2 linked regions of the Drosophila melanogaster genome follow. The protein of the gene in region 2 interacts with the protein of the main gene of each other region in a pairwise test. Each region holds a gene or a part of one and is shown on either strand. Other genes may lie near its edges.

The links. Proteins that work in one complex are often made in the same cells at the same time.
Region 1: the proteins of Lfg (region 2) and Atf6 interact in a two-hybrid assay, tested with the Drosophila melanogaster proteins (one large-scale study listed by BioGRID).

The regions. Positions count from the first base shown.
Region 1 is NT_033778.4:5,142,678-5,146,433, reverse strand, and holds the start of Atf6 (Atf6), read right to left. Parts: upstream 1,702-3,756; 5' UTR 1,604-1,701; coding exon 1,576-1,603; intron 1-1,575.
Region 2 is NT_033778.4:12,875,087-12,878,842, reverse strand, and holds Lfg (lifeguard), read left to right. Parts: upstream 1-1,876; 5' UTR 1,877-2,052; coding exon 2,053-2,071; exon of another isoform or gene 2,072-2,553; coding exon of another isoform or gene 2,554-2,581; exon of another isoform or gene 2,582-2,635; coding exon 2,636-2,742; exon of another isoform or gene 2,743-2,761; intron 2,762-2,818; exon of another isoform or gene 2,819-2,899; coding exon 2,900-3,001; exon of another isoform or gene 3,002-3,063; coding exon 3,064-3,570; 3' UTR 3,571-3,679; downstream 3,680-3,756. Other genes in the region: Nmda1 (N-methyl-D-aspartate receptor-associated protein), read left to right, coding at 133-458, 522-770, 829-1,188.

The DNA of each region.
Region 1 (3,756 bases), 7.7 Mb from region 2:
CTTAAATCCTATTTGTTATATGTGATTGTTATGTAATTGTAGTAAAATTACTGTAGACTTGAAAAAGCTAACTATAGTTAGCCGACGCGCCCAAATGGGCTGAATTAATAGAAAAGAAGGACACAAAGGGGCTCCAAGATTTCCCCGTATGCCTTGATAAATAAATTAATTTTAAAAAAAAAATCCTGGATAGGAGACTCACCTTCTCGAAGCATGCGTATGCGTGCACCATTTTTGGCTTATAAATTCGCGAAGTAAATTGTCACTATCCAACAAGGTGATAATTTACAAGCAAATTATAGCTCCAATATGGAGGTACAGCTATCAAATCTGGGGCTTGGCCTGCGACAGCCAAATCCGTCGTATTCAGGCTCCCCAAAGCAGAATCGCCAGGATGATTACCGGCTGCGATTGGTTCGTAAGGAACACAACAACAAAGAGCTCAAACTAGCCACTGTCTTCGAGACAATAAACATGCACTCTAGCCGGTACCACGACACGTTAGAGCGGTATAGAAATATCCTAGCCAAGGCACTAAACAAAGGTCGCCCACCCAGAAGGCTCCACAGGTCACCCTTGACGAGAGCCAGGAGATGATGATCTCATAATTGTTATGTAGTTAAATGTTACTTATATCATTTTTATTTAATTGTTATTTATATCATTGTTATTGTAATTAGCTAACTTTGTCAGGAAAAAATTAAATGAAAAAATTTAAAATATCAAACCATTGTAAACTTACAAGACTAAAAAAATATGAAATACTTTCAAAACTCCTGCGGCGACGTTGTATTATTATAATTGTTTATTATACATACGTCGACAAAATTTATCGCAAAGGCTGTTGGTGAAACGAAACAGGCAATAAAAATACTTATAAAATATAAAATAATTCATTAATAAATTAAAAAGGATGACTAAAAGTGTTGTTCGAAAAAAATCCTATTTAATTTAATAACTTAATTGCAGTGAATAATTAAAACTGTCGAATGGGCCGCTCTATTGTCTGAAAAACAGCTTAAACAGCTGTTAACTGTTTACTAAACATTCCGATAGCAAAAATTTGAGAATACAAGAGTAACTTACGCAGGAATCGAAAAAAATTACACTGTTGCAAGATACATATGGTATTATCAACTTATCAAAGAAAGGGACAAAGTTTTTGTAAGGTTGTCCTGTTTAAACTGCACGAAATAAGCTATCACTTTACGTATGGCAATGCGTCAGCAAATTATAAGATTTATTGATAGACAGTAATGATAAGGACGCGAATTTTTAATTATTAAGAAATCTTTTAATTTTATATATTGTTGTTTATTATTCAAATATCGTATGTCGTACTTCCCTTTTATGTTTTTCTCTTAACCTTTGTTCAATCGATTTCTTTTAATACATACATTAATATACATTTTATTTTTTATTCCATTTCGCTGATTCTAAAGCAGAAAAAATTAGGGTGCCAGCCACTCATTTCACATTTTACACATATTCATACATATGATGAATTTGATAATAGATATTAGGGCAAGACTTTTTCAACTTGCTTTGCTTGTCACTGACGAGAAGGAAACTTACTGTATAAATTATATTCATTGATGTCCATAGCTAATCGGCCATAGAATTCGAATTGAATATGTTTACTGAACCAGAATTGATTACCACAGCAAACGTCAGCAAATACACGACGTTTTGGCACATTAAAATATTAATTATCAATATATACTATAATAGTAATTTCACATTTTAGGCTTATATAGTAAGTGTACTTTTCACATCCGTCGGAGCGGTTGAGACTTCCTAAGAAATATCGATATAAAAAAGTAGTTTCAAAACTATCACAAAAAACTATTAATCACCATCTACTGAGGACGGATTTTACCTTCTTAGCTTTATATCCACTAGTTGTAGAGTACAATGCACTATGGGTAAAAAGCCGGGAATTTTGGTATTAATTACAATTATAAAGATAGCGACTTGATTTTTTTTATGTTTATAATTAAGATTTAAATAGAATTTCGGATTTTGTTTATTTTTTGATCTGACCACGCCTTCATCTCCGCCCACCAAAAAAATCCTTGAATATAAAGTGAAAAATGTATTTATATACATATGAAAGCGGGTTTCAAGGGAGATGGATGGTGGGCGAAGGATTGGCGTGGGAGCGAAGTGAAGACACAAGATACAAAAACCAATTTTATGAAATAAAAGTCAAAATTTTTTTATATTTGTTATCCATCCTTGCTTCTGCTACTTTTGAATAAGGATGGAAAATATCGCATCCTTTATGCTTATTGAGCGGTTTTATATTATTATATTGCTACTTTGTAAATCCATGTTCAATTGGGAAAGCTAAAGCGTTTTCAGCACTTATTTTAATAGAATGATTTGTCTCAATTTTCTTTTTTATATTATGTATGTTTTCAATTCCCTTTTTTTCAATATAAAGGCCGTTTCTGCCTGCTTCGTTGTTTTCCGGAAAATGAAGCAGCATGTACGAGAAGTGGAGTTGAATGCCCTTATTCTGCAGCCTGCTTATTTGGTAATCTTTTGCTCTTTAGTCTCAAAGTTCTCTTGTATATTTTCCACAATATAACTGTTAATAGCGTCTGCATCGCGTTTGTTGTTGCTCCATTTTTCCATTATTAAAAATAAACTCCAAATTTGCTATGAAGACAATGTTTACGCTGCACATTTGTTCAACTTTTTCCGACCATTTTCGCAATTCAAAGCACCTCTGAATCAGCTGACTTTGAAAGTGCGCCAAAAATAAACGATAACTCGTAAAAAGGTTTAAAACATTTTTTTTATGCTATCTTGTTACTTAGAAATCAAAAAATGAAAGGAGCATTAAAATATCAATCACAAAAATATTACATTAATACAAAAATTTCCGGTTTTTTACCCATAGTGCAATGGTATACTAGATTCATAGGCATGTATGTACTATAAGAGGTAGAAAGCAAAGACACTAGAATAACAAGATGCGTAACGGCCATACATTGGTTTGGCACTATGCAGCCACTTTTTTGGTGACGGCCAAAATTACTCTCTTTCCGCTCACTCCCGCTTAGAGCGTAAGAAATCTAAAAATATAATTTGCTTGCTTGTGTGAGTAAAAACAAGAGACGAGAACGCGTATAAGTGTGCGTGTTGTGCTAGAAGACGATTTTCGGGCCGAAATCAATTCTGATCGAAGAAACGAATTTACATGGTACATATTAGGGTAGTTTTTGCCAATTTCCTAGCAATATGATAAAATAAAAAAATTTTTAAAAATTCGCGCCCTGACTATTATAATTTTAAAGCTTTTTAAATTTGTTTGTTAAAATCGCCGCTCGAATTAGCTACCGTTTACACATTTATATTTATGTTTAATTCTAATTTGTCTCTCATCTGACAATTTTTTAAAAGCGAAATATTTTTTTTGAAACACTTTTAATGTTAATGTTACATCATATTAAGTCAAATGATTTAATAAATATACTAAATAATTAAATATGATAACTGTTTATTGCAAAAGTAATATCAAAGAAACTAGAATTATTCTAGTGTCTTTGCTTTGTTCATATCTTGAGGCACGAAGTGCGGACACAAGCACTCAACAATCATTGCCTTATTAATTTTTCACACGCCGCAAGATGAATACTCTAAAAATAAAAATAAAAATTTATTTTTGTGATAATATGTACATAGATTTGGCTATTTCTAATCTATTTTGAAATAATAATAACGTTAAGGCAATGCAAAACAAGAATT
Region 2 (3,756 bases):
TTACCGCATCTCTTCGTCACGGCGAAGCGTTTCATTTAGATTTTACAGTTCTTGGTAGACAGATTGCTGTAGCGAACGCGTTGGTAGCACCGTTTTAGATGACAAACTAAAACGAGATGTCTTATTTCGCAGATCCCAACCAGCAGTACAACTATGGCGGCGGTAATCCCCCGCAGGGAGGATATGGTGGATATCCACCTCAGGGCGGCTATCCACCTCAAGGACCGCCGCAAGGCTACCCACCCTATGCACAAGGAGGTGCTCAACCCTATCCACAGCCCTACGGACAGGGGCCTCCACCGGGAGGTTATGCTCCCCAGCCGGGATTTATCCAACCACCACCATCTGCTGGCGGCTACGGAGCCTACGATGATCCGGAGAGCCAGCCCAAGAACTTCTCGTTTGACGACCAAAGCATCCGTCGCGGATTCATACGTAAGGTGTACCTGATTCTAATGGTGAGCTTTAGATAATTCTGCATAGAAGGCATGTACAATAAGTTATCATTTCTGTGTCATTAGGGACAACTAATCGTCACTTTTGGAGCTGTTGCCCTGTTTGTATACCACGAGGGCACTAAAACCTTTGCCAGGAATAACATGTGGCTCTTTTGGGTTGCCCTCGGCGTAATGTTAGTAACCATGCTGTCTATGGCTTGCTGCGAAAGTGTGCGCCGCCAAACACCGACGAACTTCATATTCTTGGGTCTGTTTACAGCAGCTCAGTCGTTCTTAATGGGAGTTTCCGCAACCAAATATGCTCCGAAAGAGGTGAGTACTTCGATTTAATTACGATATGTAGTAAAGTGATACGATATCTGTTTTCCAGGTTCTCATGGCGGTGGGCATAACAGCAGCGGTTTGCTTGGCCCTAACGATCTTCGCCTTGCAGACAAAGTACGACTTTACTATGATGGGCGGTATTTTGATCGCCTGCATGGTGGTGTTCCTGATCTTCGGCATCGTGGCCATCTTTGTAAAGGGAAAGATCATAACACTGGTGTACGCCTCGATTGGAGCGCTGCTCTTCTCCGTTTATCTCATCTACGACACACAGTTAATGATGGGCGGCGAGCACAAATACTCTATCAGTCCCGAGGAGTACATCTTTGCGGCACTAAACCTCTACCTGGACATCATCAATATCTTCATGTACATTCTGACTATAATCGGCGCATCGCGCGACTAAGTTCCGCTCTATTTCCAAATATTGTTTGCAGCTTAATCGGGTTATTCAGTAACCTGGAATACACGAATATTGTTGTCGCGTAATCTCATCGGTGTGCTCCCCCAGTGGAGGTAATCTTCAACTAACGAATTACTCAAATACTTACAAATCTATCTACTTCGTGTTGTGTTTGCCCATTTTCCCCGTTTCCTTCTAGTTCTAAATGTCAACTAAGGCTATATGAACTACTTACTTTTTGTTATGTATGTTTTATTGTTGCTTAAGTTGAGGCGCAAACCAAGTGGATATTTCCAAATTTAAAAATAAAAAAATTATATATATGTATGTATACCAAATGATATGCCATTCAGATAAACGAAACAACAATAAATAGTCACGTATAAACATATTTATGTAAAAATATACATATAAGCAAGTTGGCTTGCAGTTGTTAACACATAAAACTTAACCGTGTGTAATAACCAAGGAATCCCGATTTTCAACTATGAATCAAGTACCGAACATTGTAATCCCTGCAGCGACACTGAGTTTAAAGTCAACAATAAAGCGCATCTATTTATTAAAGCCACAGACCCCTGCATTGTAGGGCTTCCGTCAGTGGTTCATCCAGTTCAACCAGCCAGCCACCACCAGATGCAACTTTAGTCTGCGACTTCAGAGCGACGCCGTTGGTTGGATTACTTCTACACTCCAGACCATTATCGTCTGCATTTTTGCTTTATCATTGCTTAAGTTAACTTTGTTATCTGCACCACCACAGAAAGAAGTCCGGGTGTTTTAATTTCGGGTTGGCCCCATATCATGCGTTTGACCCGGCCACCTGTTCAGTAGTTCGTGTGAATTCCAGCAGGGCGTAGCTATAAAATGTATCACTACCAGCAAGGTAAGTACCGCCCGGATTGGGCTGAAACCAAACCAAATTGGCTACGGAAAGGTGCTTTAGATTAGATAATCGATTTGGCTATTGTATAAAGCTTATTGACTGCATCGTTTTCTCTCAGTAAGAGCCAACAAAATATATCTCTCTCGGCGCATTTTCATCTGATAAGACAGCTGAAAAGGTTTCGTTATGAGCCCAAAAACAGTGATTCACCCAATCGAAGGGAGAGTGAACAACCATTTTGAAATTGTATGGTGGCAATATCAGTTACTCACCGACATCAATACACAAATCTTATCTAGAGTAGAAGTGTGGGGCTGTGATAAGAGCCGGTAACCGGCTAATCTCAACTCATACGTCCATATGGGAACACCTAGAAAGGGCGATTCGGTTCCATTAAGCTGAAACACTAGCACGCTGCCGGCAGTCGGGCAAAGAGAGCACCGTAACTTAAGTGACTAAAGTTTAGTCATAGCAATTTAGCCATGAGCAGCGACAATCATTTTCAGTACGGTTAGTCATTGCATTAACTTTCCTGCTTCCTTGAATTGTCTTCCAACCACACAGGCGATGAAACTGGCGCATACACAGATGCGGAAGCGGACAAGAGCTTCGCCTTCGATGACCAGAGCATCCGGAAGGGATTTATTCGAAAGGTCTACTTGATATTGATGGTAAGTGCTGATATTTGAACTGAAAAAGAAAATATCAATTTAAATTGTCCAAAAATAAAGGTATTTGCTTCACTACTTGTCTGCTTTGGGTCACTTTAAAACTTCAAGATTTATTGACTTCCTGCAATCTAATTTTGATATCGCGCTCTATTTCTAGTGCCAATTGCTGATCACTTTCGGTTTTGTTAGCGTATTTACGTTCTCGAAAGCTTCGCAGGAATGGGTGCAAAAAAATCCGGCACTGTTTTGGATAGCCTTGGTAAGTTTTTACGACTTTTATGCTAAATATTGAATACAAATATATCCAATTTTTAAACTCAGGCCGTTCTTATCGTGACCATGATCTGTATGGCCTGCTGCGAAAGTGTACGCCGTAAGACGCCTCTTAACTTCATCTTTCTTTTCCTGTTCACCGTGGCGGAGTCGTTCCTTCTGGGTATGGTCGCCGGACAGTTTGAGGCTGATGAGGTCCTGATGGCAGTGGGAATTACGGCCGCGGTGGCCCTGGGACTCACCCTGTTTGCCCTGCAGACCAAATACGATTTTACGATGTGCGGAGGAGTGTTGGTGGCCTGTCTGGTGGTCTTCATCATTTTTGGTATAATCGCTATCTTCATACCGGGCAAGGTGATCGGACTGGTCTATGCCTCCTTGGGAGCATTGCTCTTCTCCGTTTACTTGGTGTACGATACCCAGTTGATGCTGGGTGGTAATCATAAGTACTCCATCAGTCCTGAGGAATACATCTTCGCCGCTCTAAACCTCTACCTGGACATTATTAACATCTTCATGTACATACTGACCATTATCGGATTGTCTCGCAATTAGACTGGTCATTATGATCCATAGCTTCTATTCCAGTTTTAGAAATGTAACTTAATTTTATGTGCCCAGTGCCACCTTAGCCGGAAAGAAATACAAGACGACTAACTAATCCAACATTGTCGAGTGCTCGCTTTGGTTTGGGATTTTGGCTGGGATTGGGGCGCGCTCAACTAGTTCGAACCTTGTCCA